Diceros bicornis minor: one gene and its partners. The protein of the gene in region 4 purifies or fractionates together with the protein of the main gene of each other region. This does not show direct contact. Links are inferred from orthologs where the notes say so. Each region holds a gene or a part of one and is shown on either strand. Other genes may lie near its edges. The genes, in order: PPP1R12B, RAI14, TRIOBP and PPP1CB.

Region 1 (7,109 bases), on a different chromosome or scaffold from region 4:
TCCCGGTGCTGCCCGGCTGCACCGCTTTGGGTGGCCAGTACTGCTCCACGTTTCGGTTACGCGGTCGGCTGTGCTTGTCAGAGCAGAGAAGGAGCTGGAAATCACCTCAAAGAAGGAATAGTGAAATGAAACGGAAATACTTGATCTGAGGAAGGGCGTACGTGGTACTTATCTTCGTTTAAGTATTTTTCATCTGGAAGATTTTACTGCTTCAGAGGACACGTCTAAGACCAAGGGGTGAATATTAAAGCGATACAAAATTTAGCTCAATAAAGCATTCTAGCGATTACAAATCTGAAGAACAGAACAGGTAAACCTGGGAGATAGTGAAGTCTTTCCTCACTGGGAGTTGGTTAGGGATGGCGCAGAAGGGATGCTTGCATTGGGTGGCGTTTGGAAGAGATGACTTTTAAGCCTTTTCTAACTCTAAAAGTGTGGTCCTACCTGACCAAGAAAGTACCTGGTCATAGCTGAGCCAGCCTTGACTTCTCGAAGGTTCCTCTGCCAGAGGCGAATGCTGCATGACCTGACTTGAATCTAGAGGACATGGCAGGAACTTGACTAGCCTTCACTAACTTTGAATGCTGTGGGTGGAAAAAACCACAGCAAGCCCTCATCTCACTGCTTTCGGCTCATTGTGTGGCTTTGGAACAGCGCTGGCATAGGAGTAATGGCCAGTTTTCCTAAACGTGCTAACCAGTATAATTTTAACTACTGCAGTGATTTCTGCATTTAGTCCAAATTGGTGTTGAGTAGCAACTGGTTTCCCGTGACCACTGCAAGGTGTGTTCTCTCCTCCAGAGACCCACACATGCACCAGGACTCTGTCCATGATTCTACCCTGGGGATCCTCACATTGGTAGTAGGAATGAACCAACTCAAGTAGCTTATGAATTACAAGCGTAAGGAATCCTGTTACTGTCCAGCCCAGTTTCCAGTTAGCTGTTGAGGTTTTGATTTATGGTCAGCATTTACTCATTGTAGTGAAGTGTTTCCTGTCATAATTCTGGAGTTGGCTGCTTATTTCACTGCTGATACTTTCTGATTTAATCCCTTCAATGTCTTCTTTTATTTTCTTCCTATCTCAGTTGTGTCTCAATTACAGTTCTGTCTTCAGAACTGAAATTGATTACTTTCTTGGGTGGATCTCTGAGAAGAGTCTTAGAAATGTGTCTTAGAAAAAGCAGGAACTGTATTGAGTCTGGTGGAAATGAGAGATGGCCTGTAAAACAAGCAAATACCTGTAGTTTTGACAACCAAAATGAAAGGATTAGATAAAAGAAAAAATAAAAAGTACTTTATGGGCTAAATATACAGTTTCCATTTGTCCACCAGAGGGAGGTATATTAACTGGTGGAAATAGAGGCCAGGCCGAACGCTTTCCATAAACTGTGTACAGGTGTCATTGCTTTTAAAAATGGAGTATTCTAATATTGTAATTTATTTTTTTAAGAGCATGTGTGGAGAATTGTTATTTAATAAAAGTTCTTCAGTTTATACCAAAATTTATATGCATCATAGCCAGCTCACTTAGTACATTTAAAAGAACAAAAATTGTGTCTTATTTATGCACAGGATTATTTGTCAGGATTTACTCACTTGGATACAAAATACATTTTCTTTAGAGTATTTGTTTAGGAAATCTAAACTATCATGTTTGTTTAATAAGTTGATTGTATAAGTTTATTCTCAGAGAGCCCTGATTGGGGGAAGATGTGTCAGGAAAAACTTACGTGATTTTAATTTTGAAAAACTTCAAGCCATTATATGTAGATTAATTTTGTTGTATTTTTTTGGCATAAATTTTTTTTGTCTAAGCTGGTTAAATTAATTAGATTATAATAATTAATTACTGCTTTCTGTAATCACAGAGCTGAAAGATATATTTCTCTTCTTCCAGGTAGGCATGCACTTAAATTATCCAAGGATCTTAACTACTTATATTTTACTTTAAAATCTACAAAGAGGGTATTACACTCTTAACTACCTCAGGAAAAAAAGCAACTAAAATAAATTTAGTAAGGAAGTTCTTCCTGAAACTGAATTTCTTCCTGTTGAAATTTAAGTTCACACCTCTTGGGAAAGTAAGGATTTAACTTGGACTTAGTCAATTTTAGCTTATTTATACTCCTGGAACCAGATAGTTCTTCCTTCCTGATTCTGAATGCAAAAAGAATACAGCCAAAAGAAATGTAACATTGTTGATTCCTGAAAATTTTACTCCAGTTTAAAAATCCTTATTAGAAAACCAGTATGTCAGTAAAATATACAGTTGAATGATACATACTTTTTTTGAGCAGCTGTTGTGTACCAGGAGCACAATATTAAAATGGTGCACATGGCTTGCTGTCTGTCAGAGATGTGCTTCCTGAGATTTCAGCAATATGCTTTATTCTGAAACCTTGCCCCCTCTCACTTTTTGGCTTCCTTGCCAGATTGGCAGAGTTAAGCTTATAATGTCTCTTGAAGAGAGTTAGGCTTCTAGCTGGGTATTGTTTCCTATTTGATTTAATATCAATGTTTCTTTTATCCTGTAGGGAGAGTTCTGTTTTAGAGTTTGTGGGCAATTTGCATTATCAGCAAGAGGCTGGGTTGGAATAAGAAGGGGTTCCATGTCAACAAGTTCTAAAGTAAAACGCATACAGAATTTTTAATTGCAATAAATGATGAGGCATGATAAGTTCTTGGTGACTCTAAATTAGTGGACGTCACAAGGAAAACAAGGCTATATAAAGTATACATTATTACACCTTGATTATTTTTATGCACATTGTTATTCACAGTTCATAAAGATGCTGTAAGACTTAATTAGTATTTATAAAGTATTTAAGAATACCTAATTAAGCATATTGTGGATAGGCACAATATTATTAAACATAATATTTTGCATTTATATGTCGCTTTTCATTTGGTTCTCAGTTCATCTCGGGAAATTGAAGCACAGGCAAATGTTCACATGATAGAATATAATAAAGTTTCTCTTTACAGTGACCTAATCATTTTTGCAATATTTTTTAATGAAAAATGTCAAACATGCAGAAAAATTTAAAGAACCTAATAATTGTACATGTTCTCTTTCATTATAGATAACACAATTATATTTTGTCCAGGGCTAAGGCCCTTGGGCGTATAGTTATTAAATCGATCTGACAGGTTTTATAACCAAGTTCATGGTGCATATGAAAATGTCCTACTTGCTGCCTTAGGAGTTTAGGATGCTGCGTGGTATCTTTTTGTAGCTTTGGGGAAAAAAAAATCATGGATGGCAAGACATCCATTCTGTCTCCTAAGAATTGAAGATCCATGGAAAGGGTAGAGGAGGAGGAGGGAGGATGAAAGGAAATTAATATTTATTGTGAGCTGATATATGCTGGGATAGTACTAGGTATCTTCGCGTATACAGTGTTATCTTATTTGATCCACACGACTACCCTGTGAGGTATTATTATTCCCATTTTATAAATAAGGAAACAGGTTCGGAGAAGTCAAGTCACTTGTCTAGGGATGTGAATTCAATTTGAATTCAAAGTTTATGCTCTTTCCACTATACCTGGACGCATCCTTTGCAGGATGTTTTCGGGGCCTTGACTATAAGTGTCACGTTGAACGAATTTATGTAGTATATGTAACACTGTGTGTGTGTGCATGCTCCTCCTCATCACGCACATTTACGTTTACTTTAACAATACACGTTAATAGATTACATGTGATGATGTGAATAAAACTGTAGATTTAAAACCAGGACATGGATTTGAGTCTTTCAGGTACTTTATGAAAATAGGGATAATTACTGCTCCTTTTCCACTTCAAAGGACCGATGTGACCATTAGGGAGCCAAGATGAGTGGGTGTCAACAAGAATAAACGACGACTCCTAACCGTCCAGGGAGGCTGGCCCTGGTCCGGGAGACTGGCCGGCTCGCCCCCGCCCCGCTGCATCCCGGGACTCGTAGTCCCGAAGGCCGCGGAGGCTCTCACTACGAGTCCCGTGAGGTCCCATGCGCGGCCGCGCATGCGTGTGAACGCCGAAGCGCGCGGGCGGGGCCGCGCGGGAGAAGTAAAGATGGCGGCGCTTGCGTTTCCGGCTTCTGCTCCCGGCTGAGGCTCTCCGAGGGACAACACGGCGACTGGAGCCGCCCCCGCGGCGTGGGGCGGGAGGGCGGCGGCGGGCCGGAGCCATGGCGGAGCTGGAGCACCTGGGCGGGAAGCGGGCCGAGTCGGCGCGGGCGCGGCGGGCCGAGCAGCTGCGGCGCTGGCGGGGCTCGCCCACGGAGCAGGAGCCCGCCGAGCCCCGGGGCGCCGGGCGGCGGCCGGCCTCGCGGCGCGGGAGCCCGCGGGTGCGTTTCGAGGACGGGGCCGTGTTCCTGGCCGCGTGCTCCAGCGGGGACACGGACGAGGTGAGGAGGCTCCTGGCGCGGGGCGCGGACGTGAATACGGTCAACGTGGACGGCCTGACTGCCCTGCACCAGGTAACCCGGTCCCGCGGTCCGGCCGCCGGGGAGGGTCCCTCGGGCCGCGGTGTCACTCCGGCCGGCTACCCCCGGGTCAGCGCTTTCCCGACCTCATGGTCCCCACCGAGGGACGTATCACCCGCTGCCCGGGCAGGGTTTGTATTTCCCTCCGCCTGCTTGGGTTGCCATGGTTACCGGTGGTTGGGTCCCCGGTGTCCCCGGCACGTAAGTCATCCTCACTTCTGCCAGTCGGTGTGCCTGACACCGTGTCACTCGTAGGCACGGTCAGTGTCGTCTGTCCGGTGGCCTTTCTGAAAGTTCAGTGTTCTGCTTGTGCGGCCCTATCATGGAGTATCTTAGATCCCTGAAAGAGTAAACCCCTGTGTGGAGTCAAGGCAAGCAGATCTGAAACGGCACCTCTTGTTTTGCAGATTTGTCGTGATTCAGAAACAGTTTGTGTCTCCTGCAGGCTGTAGCTCCTGGGACACCCCCTTATTTTCTTCCTCGCAGTGTTCCTTCCTAAGAGCTTCCTATGGAGAACCAGCCATCCGAATCACTTGCGTTTGATATTATGGAATAGCCTTCTGTAGAAATCGCATGCCCTATATACAGCTATAGTGTGTGGATTGTGGATAACTTGACAGTTTTGTGCTTGGTAATAACACCTTTACTTCTTTCATCTTATACAACAGTATTCTATATATACTGACTGTCGTAGCTGGCTCCACCCTTCCTCCCCAAATGGAACTTCGTCACTTATTTTCGTGAGATGAGAGCCAGGCACCCCCTCTTAATCTTCCCTCTTTTTCTTCTACTGTCCATGCAGTAAATGTGTTGGCATGAGAACCTACTTCTAAATATTAATTCAGTTTTGTGTCATACCACTTCCCTGAATGTATTAGCCAACATTCATATAGTCTGTTGCTGTTTAAAAATTATTTTATATGCATCTCAGCAGTGATCTTTTGAAGTAGGTGTGGCAGGTAGTGTTATTCTCATTTAACAGATGAGTAATCTGAAGCTCAGAAAATTGTTACTTTTACAAGATTAGAAAGGAGAGAAGTTGCCCCTAGGCATGAATTTTTCGGATTTAAATTCCAGAGCTTTATATCCTACCTGATAAGGAGCTAAATATAAATAAGATAGATACTAGGAGGGCTACATTCATTATTCTAAATTTCTGAACTCTGACAAGGTGAATTTTTATTTATTTTTGTGTGTGTGTGAGGAAGATCAGCCCTGTGCTAACATCTGCCAGTCCTCTTTTTGCTGAGGAAGACTGGCCCTGGGCTAACCTCCATGCCCATCTTCCTCCACTTTGTATGGGACGCCGCCACAGCATGGCTTGCCAAGCCGTGCGTCAGTGCGCGCCTGGGATCTGAACTGGCGAACCCCGGGCCGCCGCAGCAGAGCGCGCGTACTTAACTGCTTGAGCCACCAGTCCTGCCTCATGAACTTTTATTTTTTAAATGTATTTGGGATGTTAAGGAGTTTGAGATCTGTATTCTGGAAGAAACCATTTCATGGGTTCATAAAGGGTAGAGAACTAGAACCCAGCTTTCTAGTTCATGTGTACCTTTATTGAATCACTCACTGTTCTATCAAAGCACAGATTTTTTAGTGTAACTCAGTAGCCCTGTTTTTTTTTTAAGGTGACTCTGCTAGCCGTACACATTTTAATAACACCCTGAGAAAAGCACCTACTTTGAGGTCACTCTTGGTAGAGCTCCTTCCCATACAGGTAACCACTTTTCTGATCCCTTCTCCTGAGACTGACCTCCTTGGTGCCTTTCCTTCTCTCTTAACTACCACCCCCGATTGTGAAGTGCAACTTCTCTCAGTTAATATGATCTTCACATTCAGTAATCTCTTGAAATAGGAGAAAGGAGATGTCAGCTCTGGACTTTTTTTTTTAACACCTGCAAATGCAATGTAGGCATTTCTCCCTGTTTACAGGGCTGGCAGTGAGTTGAACTGAATAGGTATACTCAGTACTAGACAAAGCTAAAGATTAAGCTGCTGGAAGATTTCGGGTCAAACAACCTTCTGTTGAGAAACCATCTCTTTGTTTGAATCAAGACAAGGGGCCTTTATTGGCTCGGGAACTCTTTTACAAGTCAGTTTCTGCAGAGTTACAATATGTTTCTCCATAGTCTGAAGAACTCTTAAGGTACATAAAAGATTATTTTCAAAACATGAGACTGGAGCTGCCAGTAGCTGAAGAACATACTTTATGACTGATTGTCCTTTTGTGAAATGGAGAGTCGTACAGTTATCTGAATTATTTAGTTAAAATAGCCATCTGTTATGTAAGCATAATATGAATTATCAGGATAATTCCTTCCTTTCTCTTGTTTTGGCCATGGCCCCTTGACCAACTGTGGGTTATCATTTTGGCATGTTGGAAGAAACCCCCAGATGATATTGGGGGACGATTTTTCTCCTCCTCCCACAAGGTCACAGTAGATGATTTGCACTTCAGGTTGTGGTGCCTTGATGCTACTTTTGACTTAGGGACCTTTCTTTCTTGGCAGCCTTTGCTTAGGCCACGAGGTTCTTGAGTCAAAGATAACAAGCTCCAGGGGGCCTGTTAATAATACTTGAAATAGACTGGGATAGGGAGTATCTCAAAGGTTAGACCTACTCTGATGAAAGCCTG
Region 2 (7,062 bases), on a different chromosome or scaffold from region 4:
AGGGAAGTTAACAGGACCACTCTGGAGTCGGGCATCCTAAGCCTTGATTCTTGGCTCCACTCTTTCTGGCTCTGTGATTTGGGCAAGTTGGTGGATCTATTTGAAACTCAGTTTCCGCATCTGTAAAAACAGGATAATACTCCATCCAAGTTGCTGTGAAGATTAAGAAAAACCTTGCATCTATTAAATTCTCAATCCATATGAGCTTTTAAGCAGACAGTGTTGCACAGCAGTTAAGAGCGAAGGCTCTAGAGCCACACTGCCCTAGTTTGAATCTCAACATTGCCACTTCCTAGCTGTGTGACTTTAGGCAGGTTACTTAATCTCTCTGGGCTCCAGTTCGCTCATGATCCCAAAGGAGATAATAATGGTACTTACAGGGTTGATGTAAGGATTAAATGACCTAACATTAGGGTGGCCTGAATATCAGTTTACTCAGGACAGTTCCAGTTTACGCCTTTTGTCCTAGTATCCTGTCTGGTTTAGAATTTGCCGGCCCCATTTCACTCTCAAAAGTGTCAAAGTTGTCCCAGATTGGATAATTAAGTATATGGCCACTGTAGTTAATGTATATATCACTTAGAAAAATGCCCGGTATAGAGAAGATGCAAAATATGTGTTAGTTGCTTATATTAACCCCTATAGCAGTGCTATCCAATAGAAACATAATGCAAGCCCCATAGTCATAATTTTCTAGTTAACCACATTTTAAAAAGTAAAAATAAGTGAAATTATAGTTAATATATACATTTAACCTAATATATCTAAAATATTAACATTTTGATATGTAATCAATATAAAAATTATTAGTGAGATACTTTTCATTGTTTTTTTTTTTCCAACCTAAGTCTTTGAAATCTGGTGTATATTTCACATTTATAGCACATCTCAATTTGGACTAGTGATATTTCAAGTGCTCAGGCATGGCTAGTGGCTACCACAGTGGACAGCACAGTTCTGCAGACTTCACATTCCTCATATGAGATCATGGGCCAGTCTTCAGACTTTCTCAGGTCTGTAACGTCAAGGCTGAGACACTTAGCTTCTCTGCCACACCCCTACAAGCAGGGATCTGATGCAGGGCTTTGGAATGTATTATTACCAAGCATCTTAGCCTCACCTCCAGAGCAGGGGCCCAAGGTCACTGAGAAGGAAAGTGTAGTAACCCACCCTAGGAGAAATCTCTGCTGGCTTCCTGGCAAGTTCAACAACCATGCGCCAATCAATGTTTGCAGGCTACTTTATTACTGTGGTCTTACTCAATTGAGAAAAACAATGCTAAAGTTATTTTATTAATTTCTCCCATGTCACAGTTTCTTCCTATTTGGAAACATCCCCAAGAAAATACAGAAAGTGGTTTTTCTATGAATATTTGGGCTTTTTTCCATAGATTATCTCCCTGTAACCTTCTGATTGTTTTTGTCCCATTCTCTGGACTGGTTCCAATATCGCCACATTCCTCTAAATCACACTGCCTCTAACCAGACCCAGAAGTGCAGCCAGATCCTGACCAAACACCAAACAAAGTGGAGGGTTACTTTTTGGCTCCCTGATACTGATCTCTATTTCCTCCTTCAGGGACAGTTTCTTCTTACCCCAACAAGTCTTAGCTTTGGTTCTCCAGACTTAAGAAGTTCCTAATGTGGGGAGAACTGATATTGGTGAGAGATGGGGCAAGAATGAAGGGATGTGATATTATTTAATTTCAAAAATGAAAATTGAGCCCTACCAATCAATAAATTCCATTTATGGATCCCGTTAAGTCCTGGATGGCAACACTCTTAGGAGTTTACAATCTTGATAGTATGACAAGACTCACCTGCTAGAACAATTAAAGACTGATGCTTTGCCATAAAATGTAAGGACAAAATTGCTTGTCAAGTCTCTTCAAACTGATTCTCTCACACTAAGAGAATGGGCTTAGGATGTCAGAGCTGACAAAGTTCTCAGAGGCCATCTTGTCTTTTACTGATTAGGAAAGTGGGACCAGGAGAGGTTCAAACACTTGGTGAAGTTCCGATGGGGTCCGGAAACCTGGTCCCCTTGCTTTTATTACTCCTAGTACTACATATCACACAACAGTTACCTTGATTTTGGGGTAATTCCCCTATTGAAATACAACGTGCTGTTCCTCCCAAAAAGGTTTTACCAACTTTACGCAGGCTAGACGGTCATTGTATCCTTGCTTCCTTCTCTCAAACACTTTCACCTGGGCCTGATCTCCTCTGAAGGGTGGTGTTCAATGTATCATGAACCCAACTAGCATTTCTAAAAGGCCTGGGCAAAAAAAACCACAAAAACCGATGAGAAGACGCTGTTCAATCCCATACTTGACCACCAATCCTCCCGCAGGTGGCAGAACTTCAGCTATGGTCTGAAGCGAGTGGTTTGAGTTTCAGGGGAGGAGGGATCTGGAAAAGGATCTTGGCACATGGGACTAACTATAAGAGTTCTTCCCTCCACTACAGTCCTTCACCAGGAGTTGGACTTACTGATGTTAGAAGGTGAGATTATAAACTAAGGAGAAAGAGCATACAAGCCACCTACAGGAGCCACAGGGCTGACATAGGCAGGTAGGCTCATTGGCAGGTGGCTGGGACCGGGCCTTGCAGAGTAAAAGAGAAAAAAAAGAAGAGAGAGACAGGGCTTCTGTGAATAAAAGGCTGATGACCCTGCCTTACACAATGACTGTTTAATGTGATATTTTAACTCCTTCAGCAACCGAATCTGCACATGTTAATTTTCCAAGGCAAAACCTCACCTTTCCAGTCGCCCCTCCTTGAAGGAGGTTGACCTGCCAAAAGCAGAACAGAAAACTCACAAGCGGCAGTATCATCCACCCTAAATAACCTACAGTACACCATTAATAGGACCACAATGAAAAACTGCATTGTAGAAATTGCCAGCATTCAACCAAAAAGAAGTTTGCCAGTTCGCATTTCTTCTGGAGCGTGATTTTATTTGAGGGGGATAACGGACAGGAAGAGGAGTGCACACATCTTGCTTTACACTGGCTATTCACCACTTCTCTAAGGAATGTCTGATGTAAGACTTAGCAGGTGAAGGTACACGCAGCTGGGTTCCTAGCTTTTGCTCCCTGTTTGATGGCATCTGTTAAAGCTCAGACAAGACTGTACCCTTGGCTTGGGGGTAGAGAGGGTAGGGATACAGATCAAGTCTGACACGTAGACGTAAAGATCTGGCCAAGACGTTATGAGGCGCGCCTGGAGGGGTAGTGGTTAAGCTCAGCGTCTTCTGCTTCAGAGGCCTCAGTTCACGGTTTGGATCCTGGATGCGGACCTACACCACTCATCAAGTCACGCTGTGGCCTTGACCCACATATAAAGTGGAGGAAGACTGGCACAGATGTTAGCCAGGGCTAATCTTCCTCAAGCAAAAAAGGAGGAAGATTGGCAACAGATGTTAGTTCAGGGCTACTCTTCCTCAGGAAAAAAAAAAAAGATCTGGCTAAGACATAAATTGAACTCTATTAGGCAAATTTCACTGGTTGGAATTGGCTTTTTTTTTTTTTTAAGCTCAATTGATTTAGAGTGGATCGCTCTCTAAGTCCCTTTTGGGGACTCATACTGCTAATTTATTCTAGGAACCTTTCTGCCCTGCACAAAGAATGCAGAGCTAACCCGGAGAACGGAGAACGGAGGAGCTTTGGTGAATAAAAGACTTTCTAAGCCATAGCTGGTTAGCATGACTAGAATGAATGGAAAACCCGTCCCAAATTAAATGAGTAGGTGGAGAGCTTTGAAATCCTCGGAATTAAAGGAGGAGTCCATTATGATTCAAACGCAGGTCTTAGCGGTCTGGGGAAGGGAGGGAAGCCGTGGGGTCCTGGGGAGCGAGGCCGTCCCCCTTTGCAGCCCAGACACTGCTTTGAGGGCGTTCCCCATTCCTGTCTGCCAGTTCAGGCTGTAGATTTCTCCTGACTCCTGAGCAGAGTTAGACACTTAACGCTGCTGATTTTCTCCTGCCACCTGATGAGTGTCAGGCAACAGTCACTCCAACCAGTTGGTTCAGTCCAGAGTCTACGAGCACATTCTCGTTTACTTTCTGTTCAATAATTCTGGAAAATATAACCGATTTGATTCTGGTTAGAAAGCGCTTAGGATCAGTGACTTTTAAAACACCCACACGACCACAAACCACTTTGGAAGTTGACCAGAAAGGAATGCTATTCGGGATCTCACGCGACCTAACCCCGGGGATCAGAGTACCGGTGGTTTCCACGAACTTCAGGTGATGGTGATGAAACAGATCCGTGGGGAAGGGTCCCACGATCCGTGGAAAACTAAAAGCAAGCCACGGACGCCCAGGGCGCGCGGGCCCAGGGGATGGGTGCCTCACGGGCCGGGAGCACCTCCCGCAGGTCCGGGCCGGAGCGCGGGGCCGGGTCACCTGACCCGCGGAATTTGGGCCCGCGCGGGGTGGAGGGGAGGGGAATGGTTAGCACCTCCCTTCCCGCTCCCGCGGGATCCGGGTCGGCGGGGGCCGGCGTCGGGCGGCCACGTGGTGGTGCTGCCGCTGCCCCCGCCCCGCCGGCCCTGCCCGGGAGCCGCGGCGCCCACTGACCCCCGCAGCGGGGGAGGAGGAGGGACCGAGGCGCAGGAAGCCGAGCAGGAAGCGAGCCCGGCGGCCGCGTTTTCCTGGGGAAGCGGCGGGCGGGGTGGCGCAGCCAGCGGGGCCCGGGCAGCCGCCGCCGCCGCCTCGATGGGGTGAGTGCGCGGCGCCGAGAGTTGGGAGGCTCCCCGGAGCGGGGTCCCCGGCTCCCGTCCCCGCCTTTGTGTCTGGGGCTCGGGCGAGGGAGGCAGCGAGGAGCCGGGGACCGCGCGCCCGGCGGAGCAGCTTAGCAGGGGTGGCAGCGAGCGTCCCGCCACCGCTCCCTTGTCCTCCAACTGTCTGCAGAGGGCAGATTTGGGGACAGAGGAAGAGGAGGATGGTGGGGATCAGACTAGAGAGGGAGGACCTGGCCAAGTTAGGAGAGGGGCTTCCTCTCGGTCCCCCGCGACTCGCAGGCCGGCTGGGGCAGGGCGCGGGGTTGCTGCGGAGGGAGCGCAGGTGGGAATGAATGACCAGACCCCGGCAGGGCGTTCTGGGTGTGCCGAGTCAGCACCCTGTCCCACCTGCTTGGCCCTCCCGGCGCCCCGCTCCCCCAGGTCCCCGCATCTGGGCTCGACCCGCCTCCGCGCTGAACTTAGGGGAGCTGGGGAGGAAGGCGCGAGCGGGAGACTCGAGAAGGCTCGGGCAACCGAGGGTCGGCTATTGTTCCTTTTCTGACTCCAGGAGCCCTTCGCCTTGCCCAAGGCGCCTCCCCGCCCTTCTTGTCCTCTTCTCCGCCGTAGCTCCGAGGAGGGCCGGGAGGAGGGATGCTGGAGTTGGGGCAGACGCGACTGAGGGAGGAGGGAGGATGTGGAGCCGCAGGAGAGGCGCCCTCCCGCCCGCCATTTACCCCAACCTCTGCCCAGGAGGGTGGGTACCCTCCCTAATCTACGTTTCCTCCGCTGCGGGCTTAGGCAGGTTTGTGTCTGCGGTTTAGTTTCTGCAGTTTGCGGGCTTCATCTGCTAACCCTTGGCTCACGCTCTCGTTTGGACTTCGCACCCCTCTTTTGTGAAGGGGGCCTCAGAGCCTGGAGAGGCAGCAGACCGGGCAGATGGAGCCTAGTGTAAAGTGGAGGAGTTCCAGGTGACTTCCTAGGGCCTGGGCCTGGGCAATATATCCAAGCTTCAGCCTCTTCTCCGAGAAGCCCAGCCCGGCGCAACTTTTATTTGCAAACATTGGGGCAAATCTGCTGACTCAACGCTGCTCGCCTGGACCAGAGGCGGCTTCCTTTGGCCGCAGGCTCACAGGTGATTTGGATAGGTCTTCGTTTTCCTGACGGGAGAGGACGATAGCAAGGGCTCTGGGATGGGGAAACAGCCAGTTCTCTGGGGAATGTGATCTCAAGACTGAAAGGGCCCGGCAGAGGGAGGAACTGGTTTTCTAGAGACGAGAGTCGCACCTCCTTGAGGTTCGAACAAAGTTGGAGAAGAGAGACTGCATCATAGGGAGGTTGGATTTTCATTGCTCTGTCCCCAGCTTGCAGGGCCCTGTTCCCAGGTGTGGCTGGGAGTTTTACTACTGATAGATGTAATCTGATCATCTTTTCTTAATGGTGCCTAACCAGTCTCTTTTTTTTTTTTCCTCTTGGGCTTGTAAGACAGATTTTATGGGAGGAAATTTATGCAGTTCTTATAATTTTTAACCAGTGCTTGCCTAACATGAATTGGGAGAGGTAGTCCCATGTTGGGCTGTTGGGGGTCTTTCATCTCCATTCATTGAGATGCTTAATTAATTTATTGTATCATTTATACTCCTTCGATTTGTTTTATGGCTTTTTTGGGGTGGTGGCCGATATAACCCTATTGAAAAATCTCAGTACTATTATCAGTGAAATTGAATAAAAAGAATGGCTGCTGGGCCCTGGAGATTCAATGGGGGAATGATATAATGTCCCTGCCCACTGGTAGTGTAGCTGACAATGAATTTCTCCAGACTGCCACTTCCCGAAGCGTCTTTGAGGCAGGTACACCTAGTATCACCCCCGTTTCAAAGGTGAAGATACTGAGGTTTGGAGGTTAAGGGCAACTGTGCTTTGGAGTTATTAGAATGTGGTGGAGGAGTTTTGTCTGTCTCCCTTTGTTTCTTTTAAAGTAAAAATGTGAAATATTTCAAACATACATAAAAAGAGAATATAGTAAGTCTCCCATTTTTCCACTACCTATGTTTAAGAGTTGCTAATCTTTTCATATTTGCTTACCCTCTTGATAAAAATAAACTGCTATGGAAATATTTTATCCATCCCTCCTCCTCTGCCTCCATCCTCAGGGAACCACTAATGTGAAGTTAGTCGGCAAAGTTTCCAAACATGTTTTGGTACTTCTGTATATTATGTGTCTACAGACAATATCTGTAAGCTTGTGTGTTTAACCTTTTACGTAAATGGCGTAATTCTATATACATACGACTTGGATTTTTAAATTTGTCACTATGTTTTTGAGGTACATGTAGAT
Region 3 (7,919 bases), on a different chromosome or scaffold from region 4:
CAGCCAATCACCGGCTCTGATTTCCTGTCTGGCGGGTCAGCACCGGCCCTGGCCTTAGACAGACATCAGGCCCAATCCTGGCACCTCCACTTCCCAGCTGAGTGACCTCAGCCCGGTGGCTTCCCTCTCTGAGCCTAGTTTTCTCATCTACAAAACTGGGAAGATAAGAGGACCCATCTCCAAGGGGTGTTAGGAGAATTAAATGAGTTAATATTTGTAAAGGGCTTAGAACAGTGCCTGGTCCGTACATCTTAAATTTAATAAATAACATAAAAGCATTAAATAGAATTTTATTAGTGTTAAATCAATAGAATGTTAAATACACTTAAGAATAAATACATTGAAAAGGGATGTGGGTGCCTGACATACAGCAGGACCCTCCCACCCAGCCTTCCTCCCTCCCTCCAGAATTTGACCATGACCTGGTCAAGGCTGTGTGATTTCCAGGGATACCACCTGCCAGCCTGTGGGAGACTCAGCTGAGAGCAGAGCAGAGAAGCATCCAGAAACCAGGATCCTAGGGGAGCTAGAGCCAGCTTCCTGGAAAGGATTGCCCTGGGACCTGGGGCCTGGGGCCATTTCTGCATATTCTAGGTAGCTGAAGATGTCAGAACTGGCTCCAGCCCCAGGAGATACTTTTATCAGGGCTGCAGGGATGAGTTTGCGCCTAGGTGTCATTAGGGATCCGGCTGGTATCTGCACAGCTCCATCAAGGCTGGGGATGCTTTTTTAACACACAAATTTTGTGACTGCACATGTTTGAAACTGCTCATCCGTGAGCAAGACTTTCATCAGCACCAGATCCTCATGACCGGAGAGCCTCTATCCCCTGCTGAGGTCTGCAGTCAGTAAACTCCTCTGGTCACCCAGATTCGCTCTCCCTCCCTGCACTCCATTCTCTGCCCGCAGTCAAAGTGACTTTGGAAAATGCAAATCTGGTCACATCACTCCCCTGTTTAAAATCTTCAGTGGGACCCATGCCTCTCAGGAAAAAGTCCAAAGTCCTCAGCAAGGCCGCAAGGCCCAGCGAGACCCAGCCCCCACCCCATTCTCCATCCTTGTCCCCAAGTTCCTCTGCCCCTCCCTCTCGCTGGCCTCTCTCCATCCTCCTTTCTGCCTCAGGACCTTTGCACATACTGTTCTCTTCCCCTCTTCTTGCCCCAACTTCCCTGGCCAATGCTCCCACAGCCTTTACCAAGCAGCTGAAATGTCATTTCCTTGGAGAAACGTCCCCTGATGCCCTATCATTTACCCTCGTGCCGCTTGCTGTTCCCTTACAACATTTATCACAACCATGATTCAATATTTCTTTGCCTGATTACTTTCTTAGTCTCCATTTGTCTTGCCAGACCACAAGCCCCATGAACCAGGGACTGTGTCTGTTCTATTTAATCACTATTTCCCCGACATCTAGCATAATGCCTGGCACATTTTAAGCACCTATTCAATATTTGTGAACACAGCGGGTAAGTAGTGGGACGGAGACAGGAACTCAGACTGTCTGCACCCAAGTTTCTCCCGCTGTTCCACGCTTGCCATCTCCCACCCACTGGGAGGAGGCCATTTGCACAGGAGACGGCCTCTCCAGGCTTTCAGCCAGCTGTGCCCTGAACTTGGCATGAGGGTAAGCGAGCTGTTATTGGAGGCATCAAGACAGGTAGGAAAGCATCTCCAGCGTTTACTTTTCTGGTTGGGAAGGAGGGAGAGGAAGCTAACGTGTATTGAATCAGCCACACGTGACTTGGGCTGAGCAGTGCCAGATGCCCTGAGTGAGAAGAAGCCTTGTTGCCCCACTTTACCCATTAGGAGAATGAAGCCAGCGAGGTCTAACGACCCTAGGTCACACAGCACGTCAGTGCCAAACCCGGGACTGGAACTCCCGCCTGCCTGGCTCCAAGGCTGAACAGCGACTCCCTTACGATGGCCACCTGTCTGAGCCTAGTGCCCTGCGTGCAGCTGGCTGCTGGGCTCAGGAGGAGCCTCAGGACCCTCTGGGAATTATGGAGCCATAGGGGTCGAGGCTGGAAGGGCCCGTGGAGATTCACGGTCCCGTGCTTCTCACAGCATGTGTACCAGGCACTCTGGGTTTACGTGTACTGGCGCTTGGCCTAAGACCACCTCGATCACAAAATGAGGATCTCCTCCCCTTCCACACCCTCCAGGAGAAAGTCTCCAGTTGGTACTGGGGGATTTTTTTTTTTTTTAGCTTAGCCCTGAGCTAACATCCATTGCCAATCCTCCTCTTTTTGCTGAGGAAGACTGGCCCTGGGCTAACATCCGTGCCCATCTTCCTCTACTTTATATGTGGGACACTGCCACAGCATGGCCTGATATGTGGTGCATAGGTCTGCCCCCAGAATCCGAACCTGTGAACCCCTGGTGGCTGAAGCGGAGCACGTGAACTTAACCACTAAGCCACCAGGCCGGCCCCCTGTTGTTTCTTTTTAACCTTCCATCTAAAGGACATGATCCTAGTCTTCTATTTGTGGCGGTAAAGTTTTGGTTCAGTATAAGAAAAGGGTACTGATTTAAAGAGCAAAAAGGTAAGTAATAGATCACATGAGGTTACAACAACAAAATCATAAAAGCAGGAGAATGACTGGCACTTGGAAACGTTAACATGGTCCCACCACCTCATTGTACAGATGGAAAACTGCGGCTCTGCCCAGGAGGAAGGCCAGTGTCTGCGTTCAAGTGCAAGATAGCGGCCCAGCCAGGCCCCAGTCCGCATGGACTCCCCCATCCCTAACCATGCTGACCACGCAGGAAAGCCGGCCCACCTGGTGCCTTGCTCTGTGGGCCTCCTCAGGGTGGAAGCAGTTTTGACAGCAGCTCTGGGCAAGCACATTGGCCTCAAAGTGTTCACAGGGGGCTTTCCCAGCCACCTCCTCCATATTGGCTGAGTGAGGCCAGGGCAGCTCCTGCGATCTGTGGCAGGGCCTGGGAAGAATGGGGGAGGCAAGGACCAGGTGACTGGCTGGAAGCCAACCTGGACCCCAGCCCCAGCTTGCCCCTAGACAAAGACCAAGGAAACAAGGTTATCCATCCATTCATTCATCTGTTCATTTATTCACTCAACAAACACTCATTAAGCACCTACTTAGCACTAGGCCCTCTGCCAAGTATTTGACAAGTGATTTCTAGTCATTGTAGTGTTTCTCACAGTGTGTTCCAAGGACCCTGCATGAGACTCAGCCGAGCTGTTCATAAAATGCATATTCCCAGTTCCCTCTCTAGATCCACCCAATTAGAATCTCTAGAGGTGAGGCCTGGGGGTGTGCATTTTAAAGTCCCCCTAGGTGATTCAATGCACCCCAAAGTCTGAGTCCCCTTGCCTTACAGTTTTCCTGCATTGGAGATAAAATTAATGCCAATTTCAGATGAGGCACCTAAGGCTCACAGAAGTTCCAGAACTTGCTCAAGGTCCCAATGGCTGAACTGGATTCACACCCAGATCTGTGTGCCTCCCAACCCTCTCAGAGGTGAAGGTGAGGGGCACTGGGTCACTCTGCCAACTCACACAGGTCCCTCAGGAAACACTGGGAGTGAGGCAAAAGGCTGGCTAGGTATTTTCAGAGTCCAGGACACAGTCATGGAGGAAAGTGAACAACCTAAGGTCACACAGCAAGTTTGCAGCACAGCTGAGCCCAAGAGAAACCCTGGTGTCTGACTTGAGCACAGAGCTCTCCATTCTGGGCACCACTGAGGGCTCCCACACCATGCCCTGGGGGAAAGCCCGGACAGAGGAGTAACATGAGGATGCCCTCTTCACCTACATAGAGCCCCAGGAGGTGGGTGGGCGTGGGAGGAATCCACATCCCAAAACTCACATTCATTTTACGGTGTACCCAGCTCACCTGTGCATACCTGTCCTCACCTGATGAGTTTCTTCCACAGAGTCCCGGGGGGATCAGGCCTTTGCTGCCAGTCTGGGGTGAGGGCTAGAGAATCTCAAGTCCTCCCCTGGGGCAGCAGGGCGAGGGTTCCTGGCTCCTCCACCATCAGACCTGGGGAGGCGGCAGGGCACGGTGTGTGTTGGGGGGGGCGGGGGGGCACCTACTGGACCCTCAGTGGCCCCGGGGTCTCCGATCTCCCCTGGGCCGTCATCTCCTCGCGTCGTTCCCTGCTTCCAGGGGAGGGGGCGCGCATCCCTTCCGCCCAGCCTGGGCGGTTCTTTCCAGGTCTGGCCACATAAAGAAGCATCGCCTCGGAGGGAGAACGCTGCTTATTTCCCCGGGGGCGGCTGTAGGGGGCTCTGTTCCACGTGCCCCTTACTGCTCCCACTTCCTCCTCCCCAACGGGCAAATCCTTCTCTAAAATGCACTTCAGGTGTGGACATGGCGATGAAAAACCAGCGGACACGCATGCCCCGCCCGGAGAATGGACCTCTGGACCTCTCTCCACCGAGCGCGTCAGCCAGTCCCTGCCCGTATCCTTCGCCCCTCCACCAGTCCTCCCTAACGTCCCCCCGCTTTCCGGTATCCAGTACTAACCTCGGCTCGGGTTTCCACGCACAGCGGGTCTGGGTTGGGGTGCCGGGGTCACAGCCTTTTTAACAATGAATCAGAACCTCGCCCGGGAGGAGGACGAAGACCACGCCCCTGCCGCTCCCGCATAGGCTCGCTCCAGTGCTTCATTTACACGAAGACTGTGTGATTGGACAACACGAGGCCAGGGGGCGGGGCGGAGGCGGGCGGCGCCCAGATGCCTCCGAGCGCGGGACCTGCCGCACGTTTAGCCTGAGCAGTTGGGTCAGGGTCCCCAGGGGCTGAAGAGGGCTGGCACTGGGATCTGGCTCCCTCTGATCTCTTTCCCGTTTGTTCATTCCCGCCACAGTCCCCTAGGCTGGCTTTAGTCCAGACCTTGGGCTAGAGACTTAACCTCTTTGTGCCTCGATATTCTTATCTGTAAAATGGGGAGAGTAATAGTAACTACCTGTGAGGATGAAATGAAATGCCCCCGGGGGTTTTCAACCTCCATTTGCACACTTCCACTGATGTGGAGCTCACTGACAAAATGCACAGCTCTCCCCTTTTTTTAACTGCCCCCCTTTTTAAGCTAACATTTACTCTGCACTGTCTATGTGCCAGCTCCTATTCCAGATTCTTTACATTCATGAGGACATAGTAACCTGAAGGATTAAGTACCAAGATGCTCATTTCAGAGCAACTGAGGATCAGAGAAATTAACTCACCAGTGTCACACAGCTAGCAAGTGGCAGAGCCAAGACTAAAACCCTGGTGTGTCTGACTCCACCAGCCACTACCGAGCATCTTCATTCACTAATTCACTCAGACATTCATATGTATCTGGTATATGTCAGGCCTGCGCTGGGCACTGGGAGATGGTAACATGAATAAAATGTGGCTGCTTCTGAGATGAGGATCCTGTTGACCAGTAGGAGAGACAGCCCCAGAACAGATTATCCCAGCCCAGGACGGAACGGGTGAAAACACAGCTTCGTAACAAGGATAATGAACTTTCTGCTCAGTCCCAATTACTGTAAACAAAACAGGGAGTAGCGAGACTCATGTTCAATATCTGGCTCTAGCACTTCTTGGCTGTGTGGTCTTCAGAAAGTTTCTTGACTTCTCTGAGCCTGGGGTGGGGTGGGTACTTGGTTTGAGTTTGAAGATCAGGGTATGGCCCCAACCCTCTAGCCCCCACCAATCAATAAAACCTGGAACCAACTCAGGGTGACACTTCTGACAATTCATTAAATTCAATTCATTAATCATTTACGGAGCCTTTACTTTGTCAGTTGTGTGTGCTGAGGGTCCATCGGTGAACAAAAGATTGAATCTCCTGCGTTCATGGGGCTTACATTCTAGTGGAGACAAACAGACCCCAAACAAGATAAATAAGCAACATATGGAGCATGCTGGCTGGTGACAGGTGCTAAAGAGAAAAACGAAGCAGGGAAGGGGGTCGGAGGGCATTACATTTTAAATGAGGTGGAGGGAAGGCCTCGCTGAGATGGCGACACCTGAACCAAGACCTGGAGAAGAGGGAGTGAGCCTGCAGGTCCTGGGGAAGAGCGTTTCTGCTGAGGGGACAGAAGCAGGGAGGCTGGAGTGGGACAAGGAGGGAGAGGAGGACGAGTCCAGGGGCCCGATTGATGGGTCGTTTTGGGCGCTCTCCCCAGCTCTGGAGCCGCCTGGCTGGGCCCCTGGAGGGCAGGGGAGGACGGCGGGCAGGTGGGCAGCAGCCAGGGTCCTGAAGGAGAGACGATTGGAAGGAGGCAGGACGAGGGGGCCAAGGAGCCAAGGGTGGTCGGGAGGAGTGAAGGGGACTGTTGGAGGAAGCCCCCCTCTTGTGGGGGGACAGTGGCCATGAGGGTGGTTGAGACCCGAGGAAGGGCCTTTAGTAATCTAGAGAATAACTGTCCTTCCTTTTCCCAAGAGGGTGAAGCTGCCCTCCTCATACACCCAGTATTTCTCCCAACACCATCCCTGTGATGGGAAGGGCAGCCATCATCATCCCCATTTTGTAGAAGTGAAACTCAAGACTCAAGCAAATTTCCCAAAGCCACTCAGTTACTCGAGGACAGAGCCTGGTTTAAAAATCACCCTCCCAGAGTTCTGCGGGACGGGTCAGACGGCTCAGGGCCAAGGGCGTAACGGTGGCAGCCAGGGCAGTGTCACCATGTGTCACCATTTAGTCTCAGCCTCACATCCCCCTTTCTGCTCCCTGAAGAGTCTGTGCCTGCCTATCTCCACCTCTGCTCATGCCGTTCCCTGTGGCTGCGACACCACTCTTCAGAGATCAGGGAAGCGGAATGATTACTGACGGTTTCAGCCTCACTCTGCCCCTCGGAGCCTCAGTTTCCTGCAGTCACGTGGGAATGGTCATCCCAGCCCTTCCTGCCCACAGGCCTGCAGGAGAATCATGTGCTCTGGGCAGGCACGGCAGAGATGCAGGGGCTGTGGTCCAGCGGAGCAGGGCAGGAAGGCATGAGTCTCTAAAGGGGTCTTCAGGGCTGGCTCCAGCCCACAGCCACCCTGTGAAGTGGTGATCCAAGGTGGCCAGGCTTGCTTTTACTAGAGAAGCCAGAAATATGAACTTTTATATGAAATCTCAACATTTTAGAATATGGCTAAGTCAAATTGTTTTTAAACACTCTGTGAGTCAAACCAAACTAATCTTCATTCTATGCAATGTCTCTGAAATGGTAAATTGCAGATAGATTTTCATTCCCTTAGTGATGACTTAAACGCCACCCCCTCCAGGAAGCCCCTCCTGGCTTCTCCAGCCTGAAGCAAGGGCTCACTTTGCTGCGCTCCTGTGCAGGGCTCCCATTGCTCCTGGCTGTCGTTCACTTTACGGACCACGTGCGTGCGCCCCCTGGAGGAAAGATCCTGGATCTCCGCCTCCATTTCTTTGGTTTGTTCAGCCAGTCTAGCAGTGTTAACGTATGTATCTAAGGTGTGGCTCGTTTCCTTGGGGAAGAACATCTACCTTCTGGATCCTTCCCTGGGGATGTGCAGGTGCCCAGCCAGAGGCCACTCACAACTTAAATTCCGGCTCCAACTGGGAGGCAGTGAGTAGTTAGAACTCAGCCAAGACAGTGTCCTGGCCAAGGGGGCCCCACCCCAGTGTGTCACCTGCAACATGGGCTTAATGGACTTGCCTCCTTTGTGGGGTTACTGGGGAGAACTCGGTGAGTTAAAGCATGTAACGAGTGACTGGTATACAGTGCGTGCTCAACAAATGTTGCTATTATTATTTCTCCTCCAGTCTTCTCTCTGTCCCCACAGCTTTGGCCCATGAAATATAAGTCCCCAGAGGGCAGGGACCACCCTTGCTCACCAGCGTATCCCTGGTGCCTGGGGCTTTGCAGGGGCTCAGTCAATGCTTGGTGAGAGAGTGAGAGGGCGCCCGCATGAGAGGAGGGTCTCCCTGCCTCTCCTCTGGGAAAC
Region 4 (7,586 bases):
GAAACATTTAAATTGTTTTATTCGAAACAAACCTTCACATTTTGTATACTTTTCTTCACCAACACACATAGTTATTTCCTGGTATCTTGTTTGAATGAGCAGTATGGGAGAGCACTGAAAGAGAAACAATCTCACACATGTAGATGACACGGTTTTATTGTAACAAACTAGGAGTGACCCAAATAGACAGCTGGCCCTGTAATCTAATTAGAAGAAAAAAAGAAGGGCCACAGACCAACTCTTCAAAAATTAAATAGTCATCGTTTGAGGTAGCTGCCCATCCAACTTTAATTGCCTTATAGTTAACAGTTCTACACAGCCAGTTAATTCCTTCAATTACTAGGCATTTATTTTGCAATCCTTTTATCTTGAAGGATATACTAGAGAATTAGTTTAAGAAACAACGCTCCACTGCTCCACTGACAGTTTGTGTGTGTGTGCTGGGGGATCAGAATGGGGGGTGGGGTGGGGGTGGGGGGAGAGTGACCAAGGGCAGGGGAAGAGACATTTGCTTCTACCTGGCTTTCTAATTTGGGGGGCTAAAATGACTGAGGACATGCCTTACAACTTAGCCGATAACTTTGGCGCTTGATTATTCTCTCAAGTATGTATTGAAATGAAACCAAAACTAAATCTTAAGGAAAAATCTTGGCCTCGCCTGAGTGTACCACCTAGCCCTGGCTCTGTATTGAGAGGGGTGGCCTCCTACTGATGCATGTGTCTTTGACTGGTTTCTCAATATCATCGAATTAAACCAACTACAAAAGCATATGACATTTGATATAGAGAATGGCTGATCTCAAGGTATATCCAGTAAAATTTACTGCCACTTAAGATTTATTAAAGACTTGATTAAGAGGGATCACACTTATGGAAGAACAACCCAATGAATGTCGATTCATTCATTTACAAGCTACCTTGGATTAGTCAGGGCAGCAGAGAGTTATATATCACTATCACAACCTCCACATTTTGCTACCTAAACCTACTGATTTTCACAATATATTGGCTATTGGTCAACATTGAGAGGCATGTAAAACATCCCTGTGAATGTCTGTGCTGTGTTTACTAAAAGGAATCATGAGGCTGCTGTACATTGTGTTCCAAAGTGCCTTCTTTGAGGACAATTCATAGAGATATCTCTCTGTTCTCAGCACAGAGATGGTTGGGTTCCTCTGAATACTGGTCTGCCTTTATCTAATGGTCACTGGTATGTCCCAGGCATTTCCTCTTAGTAAGTACAAATAAGACCATGATTTTATTAAGACCCAAAATCATGATTCCCCAAGACTCTTGCAATCAGGAAGTCCAATTTCCCTTCACAGACATTTCTGGAATTACCCAAGGATATTGACATTTGTGACCCAAATGTCTCCCTAAGCCCAGTGGTGTGCTGGTAAATGTTTAACAACCAGCTCTCTGGTGGAAAAAGCTATAGATTTATAGCATTTGCTAATTTCTTTGGTGTGACTACTCCCACTGTGGCCAATATGACGTCACTGAACATGGAGCTGGAAAGAGATGCATAGTAGCATATCATTATGTAGTATTTCCACCATACAGATATAATAGATGTAAAAAACCTCTAGACTATACATAATAATAAAATGTAGCAATATAAATCGGATATGATGAATTTTGAGTTATCATTACCTTTGTTCCTTTGTTTTTAGTATAATTTATTTGAAAGTATATAATTTAGTTATTAAACAATGGCTCTGTTTAACAACTGGCTTGCAAAATTCCTGCAAGTTTAACAATTGGCTCTCCTGAGCCAGTGTAAGCTGGCTCCAGGACACCACTACCTAAAGCCCCACTGGGTTGGGAGTCCCAGCTAACAGTTTGCCCTTTGGTCTGTTAGATTAACAATCCTGGTCTAACAAGGAGCAAGCCCTTAGCCTGATTCCTTTCCTGAGTCTTGCTACACATCCATAAAGAGTGACAGGCAGTTTCCTACATGCAATCAGAACCACTACTTGCCACTCCTCTGTTCCAAAGTCTGCTGGTCTCCAGGCTTGGGTGCTCTACAGGGCTGCTGCCCACCACAGTGCCTGGTCCAACCAATGTCTCCTACACCACTGGCAGCCTTCTTATGTCTCTGCTTCCAAGGTGCTAGCTTCCCCAAATGGTGACCTCCACTCTGCCCCCAGGCCACTGCTCATACTCAGGCCAAGAGCCTCCTCAATGTCAGCATCTGCCAAATGGGGCTTCCCTCTCCTTGGTACCCACCTACTCTTGAACCTCATGGTGGCTCCCACTGCCTCTATTGCTGCTGCTGTCTATAGCACTGTCAACTCCAGCCTCCAGATCTCCCCTCTTACTTCTTCCTCTGTCCTCAATCTCCTATCCACATTTTTTTTTTTTTGAGGAAGATCAGCCCTGAGCTAACATCCATGCTAATCCTCCTCTTTTTTTGCTGAGGAAGACCGGCTCTGAGCTAACATCTATTGCCAATCTTCCTCCTTTTTTTTTTTTCCCAAAGCCCCAGTAGATAGTTGTATGTCATAGTTGCACATCCTTCTAGTTGCTGTATGTGGGACGTGGCCTCAGCATGGCCGGAGAAGCGGTGCGTCGGTGCGCGCCCGGGATCCGAACCCGGGCCGCCAGTAGCGGAGCACGTGCACTTAACTGCTAAGCCATGAGGCCGGCCCCTCCTATCCACATTTTAAAGTCCAAAGAAAATTTGAAAACTGAGTGTCATGTAAATGTGGCACCAAAACTCATTGAACAAAGTAGGATAAGATGCAAGTGATGCATAATCTCAATTTTATAAAATAGGTGTGTGTGTGTGTGTGGATATATATATATATATATTTTTTTTTCCCCCCAGAAATAAGACAGGAAAGTGGTTATCTATGGATGCTGAAATTACAGGTGATTTTTATATTTTTTTCTTTGTTTTCCAAATTTCCTTCAATCAACACATTTTATTCTGAAAAAAAAGGCTACGTTAATGGCAAATTTGACCTAAACTGATATGAGGCATAATGTAGTCTTTATTTATCTTACATGATGTGAATATTCATGATTTCTTTAAAAAAATTAACGTTTCAGACTATAGTGAGCTGCCCCAGAAGCTGCTGGGGTGTTAAGTAATATAGAGTACATGCACCTCTTAAACTTCAAAATCTGAAGAATTCTGAATCTGAATTCTTATATAATTTTGGAGGGGGATTCCCACAGAAAAGTTGGTTGGGCCCCTAGTGATATAGCTCTTTCATTTTTATAACAGCCGTTTCTTTCCCAGGATTCCAAGGCACCAGAAAACCTGGTTGGGGGTGGAGAAGGGGACATCCGCAGGCAGTACTCAGAACCACTCTCCAATATATGCTGACTCCCAGAACTTGCTGAGTCTGGCCTCTCTCTGCCCCATTCGTGGTGATTTTCTCTCAGATGCTCATTTTCTTTGCGCAGTCCAGTTTCCTTTGGGTGTCCCTTGTCCATTAAATATATCTGCATATATTCGAACCTTAATTGTGGACAGGGTTCAAAGTTCTTTTTCATGGGATTCATGGGCCCCATGAAAACTGAAGGATAAGCAGACACCTATTTAAGTGTTCCCAAGCATTATGTTGCTCTTTAAGAGGCTCATGGAAGAGCCTTGGGAAAGTGGCATCTAACTCCACAATCTGATGTCTTCACGTCCCAGTTCCAGCTCAGCCAGAACACCTACCCCACTTGCAACCCATCTTTTCCTTGATTGCCAGAACGCTTAGAATCATATCTGTGGCCTATGCCTAGCAAACGATGCATTTTACATACAAAACTGCTGGTTTTATCTTACCTTTCCCACGCTGTTTTCTTTTGTCCTATTTTTCTCTGTACTTATTTTTAATTTATCCTACTGCATTTATTTACGTAAGCTACCTTAAACTCCTTCTTCTGAAATAAAGCAGAGTATAAATAAATGTTCTTTAACAGAGTAGACGGAGACGTAATGATGCCAGCCCGAAGGTACCTGAATACCCGATGACATCAGTAAGATATATATGAAAGCGCTAAACAGAAGGCAGAGAGTGGTATCCCCGTAAAATATTACTATTGCTAACCCTTCCAGGGCCCACTTGAACTTATTTCATCCAAGGACACTTGGACAACTAGCCTTGTGGAACGGTAGGGTATAAAACCCCTTATTTGCAACGTCAGATGTTTCCAGCAAAGGAACCCCTTCTTGCTTTTCAAACGCGCAAACCCGGGTTTCAAACATGAGTAACACAGTCCGCGTTTCCCGTTTAACGGAAACAGGAGGAATTGCTTGCAAAACCAGGGAATAAAGCCAAGAAAAGTAAAGCGAGGCGGGAAACGCACAACTACTGCGTCTGCACAGCGCCCCAACAGAGGCCGCTGGGAACCCGGAAGAGCAGCACAACCTAAGCGCGCTCTGCGTAATGGGAACTTCCTCGGCGCAGCAAACCCGGGGAGCCTCTTGGGCGCCTGCGCGCTGCGGCGATTCGGCGCAGTGAAAGGGGCGAGAGAGGGCGACGCACCTGCGCAAAGGGGGCGGCGGCGGGCGAACCGAGTCCAGTGCGGTTGCGCGAAAGCCGGGGCGTGCGGGGGGGGGGTGAGGGCCGTGGAGGAGTTCGCCGTGCGCCTGCGCGGAGGTCTGCGTGGCGCGGTGGCGGGGAAGGGCGGTGTGGAGTGAGTGGCCCTGCGGGTGGGGCCGTCGGCGGCGCTGGTGAGCTTTGCGGAGTTGGGCGGTGCCGAGGAGGAGGAGGTGGCGGCTGGGTCTGACGCGGCCCGGTTCGTGGGGGCTCCGCTTGTTTATTTATTTATTTCTCGAGTGTGCCTCCGAGTGTGCGCGCGCTCACTACTTGGTGGGGAGGGGGTGGGGGGAGGGCCCCGGGGCAAAGGGGGAGTTGGAGCCGGGGTCGAAACGACGCGTGACTTGTAGGTGAGGGAACGCCGAGCCATCGCCGCAGCCTCCGCCGCCGAGAAGCCCTTGTTCCCGCTGCCGGGAAGGAGCGTCTGGTGCCGACAAGATGGCGGATGGGGAGCTGAACGTGGACAGTCTCATCACCCGATTGCTGGAGGGTGAGTGCGGGGCCCGGCCGGCCGCAGGGGGGCCGCCTGCCTCGGTCCTCGTTCCCGCTCCGCCGCCGACATCCGAGGGGACCCCCTTTCCCGCCCCAAGGCGGCCTCCGAGGAGGGGGCGAAGAGGCCGGCTGGTCGGGGGAGCGGCCTCCGGGAACGCGGTCGGGGGGAGGCAGGGCGAGAGGGGCTGTCCCTGCAGGTGGCCGGGCGGGCAGTGCCCCCGCGGACCTTCGGCGACCGGGCCGGCGGCGCGCCAGCCGGGGGGTGCTCGGAGCCCCTTCCCAAGGAGGGCGCCGGGATGCGTGCTCCTGTGCGTTGTGTGTGCGTGGAACGTGTATTTCTCTCTGTTCTCTTTGTGCATTGCCCTTGGCTGTCTTGGATTCTTGTTCCGGGAGTGAATTTTATAAAAACCTGCTTGAGACGATTGCTTGATCTAGTGTTCTACGTTTTCATATGATGCTATAGGACGAACTCTATTTAAGGAGAGGATAACATTAGCGGGAGTTAAGTACCTCCCATTTGTTGTTTAGCTTAAAAAAATAGTAAAACAAAAGTCGTTGAGCTGAAGATGCACGCAAGAACTGTGAAATATGTAGATACGTTTGCTGAAGGGATTGGCTTTCCGGCTTGAGAATTGAACAGGTTTCAGCAGGATTTAATTTCTGCACGAACTTAGAAAAGATCTGTTGTAAAGATTCTCGTGTTTAAAAGGTATTTACAAGTCTTCGCAGCTTTTGAAGTTTACAGGCTCTTCTGTTTTTGTTGAACAGTTTTATGTTGGGTTAGGGGATTGAGGGAAAGCGAAGAGATCTCGGAGAGGCCAGGATATTATTCAAAGTTAATCGCGGTCTTCTGCCAGTGAATCCCCGTACCCTAAAATTTGCGTCATCACTAATTGCTTTGTGAGTGTGTAGAAAAGAAATTAAGCCTTTACATTTAGAATCCTCTCTGTCAGGAACCAGCGAAGGATTGCATATGCAGTAACTGTTATTACTTCCTTTCAGATTACCTGAAGGTAATTGTTTACTACAGTGAAGCAGTCTGTAGTTACATTTGGAAAATCATCAAAGAAGATTGTATGATTGGGAGTGGGGGGAGGGCGCTAGTTCCTTTTTTCAACCAGTATGTCGATATCTCATCGGTTCTGTATGTACCCATTGTGTAACAAACTACAGTTTATTTGCTCCAGATGTGAAAGCCTTCCAGCAGTCTAAGACTGAATGAGAAGCAAAGTTTCATCGGGAAGTCTTATTTACCTTTTCCTTTACTATCAAGTTATTCCTGGGAGGCCCCCTGGTGCCTGCAGTCAGTGTTCACTACTTAAGACTTTGTGGACTTTAACAGATGTGCACATCTTGCTGGGTCTGTGAGACATTTGCTTTGACAAAAATTGTATTTTGTAATTGTGCCTTGTTGAAAGAGGAAAATATAGCTATTTAAGAACTTTAATGTCTTGTTAACTCTTGGGGAAGTTTAGGCCCATCACCATTTTTATACATTTTAAAATTGGCTTGTAAATTTAAATATTTTAAAAATTTAATGTTTTTATATCAACTTCTTCACTTTTATTTTCCATATACTTACATATTTATATACTTCATAGGAATAAAATGGTAGATTTATGTATTTCGAAATGGTTGATCTGGAACTTTTTAAGTCAAACGTACTTGTTTTTTTTCCCCTTTGTGAGGGAGATCAGCCCTGAGCTAACATCCGATGCTGATCCTCCTCTTTTTTGCTGAGGAAGATTGTTCCTGGGCTAACATCCGTGCCCATCTTCCTCTACTTTATCTGCGGCTCCGCCACAGCATGGCCTGACAAGCAGTGCATCCATGCGCGCCCTGGATCCGAACCCTCGAACCCTGGGGCTGCGGAAGCAGAGCTAGAGCACTTAACCACTTGCACCACCGGGCTGGCCCCTAAACGTATTTTTTTGTGATTATAGATATGTCAGAAGCTTCACTAGTGGATTGTTCAAGGTTATTGGAAAAAAGATATGGTAGGAAAAATAGGCTGAGTGAGTGATTCCATTTCTTTTTGTGAACTCAAATTGAACGTTTGGTTTTGGACAATCTTTTTTCCTTCTTTTGGTGAGAATTCTAGTCCAGACATTTTCCCCTTTTAAATTACCAAGCATTTATTGACCTGCTTTGTGCCAGTCACCAGGAATCCAAAGATAAGACACAATCTCTTTACTCAAGGAGCTCCCAGTCTAAACAAGTGATTTTCAGGCTTTCCTAGCCTCCTCTCTGTTTATGTGTTCAACACACTCCCATCAGTAAAGAATTTCATTACTTGCTTCTTAATCCCAGGAAGTACATTTAGTTTGACAGTGCCTCTCTGGGGTTCTTAAATTCTCCAGGCTCCTCTCCTTCCCCCCTTCAAAATTTAGACCCATTCCAAAACAGACTTTGATTTTCTAATAAGTATTTTTAGTCTTCAAATAAAAATTTTTTTGTCTGCCTTGATTTTCAGTGATGTTACATGCTAATTAAATTTAACTCAAATTCAACTGGTGGCATTTTGTAAAGCTGCCTAGCAGAATAGCTACAGTT

The links.
Region 1: the proteins of PPP1CB (region 4) and PPP1R12B purify together in Homo sapiens (affinity purification with mass spectrometry; 4 studies listed by BioGRID and IntAct, with this or other methods). This does not show direct contact. The link is inferred for Diceros bicornis minor from reciprocal best matches to the Homo sapiens genes PPP1CB and PPP1R12B.
Region 2: the proteins of PPP1CB (region 4) and RAI14 purify together in Homo sapiens (affinity purification with mass spectrometry; 3 studies listed by BioGRID and IntAct, with this or other methods). This does not show direct contact. The link is inferred for Diceros bicornis minor from reciprocal best matches to the Homo sapiens genes PPP1CB and RAI14.
Region 3: the proteins of PPP1CB (region 4) and TRIOBP purify together in Homo sapiens (affinity purification with mass spectrometry; 3 studies listed by BioGRID and IntAct, with this or other methods). This does not show direct contact. The link is inferred for Diceros bicornis minor from reciprocal best matches to the Homo sapiens genes PPP1CB and TRIOBP.

Annotation. Positions count from the first base shown.
Region 1 is NC_080777.1:30,433,222-30,440,330, forward strand, and holds the start of PPP1R12B (protein phosphatase 1 regulatory subunit 12B), read left to right. Parts: upstream 1-4,090; 5' UTR 4,091-4,177; coding exon 4,178-4,468; intron 4,469-4,474; exon of another isoform or gene 4,475-5,105; intron 5,106-7,109. UniProt on the Homo sapiens protein: Regulates myosin phosphatase activity. Augments Ca(2+) sensitivity of the contractile apparatus.
Region 2 is NC_080759.1:34,338,155-34,345,216, reverse strand, and holds the start of RAI14 (ankycorbin), read left to right. Parts: upstream 1-4,051; 5' UTR 4,052-4,251; intron 4,252-4,660; exon of another isoform or gene 4,661-4,727; intron 4,728-7,062. UniProt on the Homo sapiens protein: Plays a role in actin regulation at the ectoplasmic specialization, a type of cell junction specific to testis. Important for establishment of sperm polarity and normal spermatid adhesion.
Region 3 is NC_080764.1:12,051,933-12,059,851, forward strand, and holds the start of TRIOBP (TRIO and F-actin-binding protein), read right to left. Parts: upstream 3,014-7,919; 5' UTR 2,895-3,013; coding exon 2,781-2,894; intron 1-2,780.
Region 4 is NC_080751.1:54,244,980-54,252,565, reverse strand, and holds the start of PPP1CB (serine/threonine-protein phosphatase PP1-beta catalytic subunit), read left to right. Parts: upstream 1-4,584; 5' UTR 4,585-4,675; intron 4,676-4,891; 5' UTR 4,892-4,979; coding exon 4,980-5,031; intron 5,032-7,586. UniProt on the Homo sapiens protein: Protein phosphatase that associates with over 200 regulatory proteins to form highly specific holoenzymes which dephosphorylate hundreds of biological targets.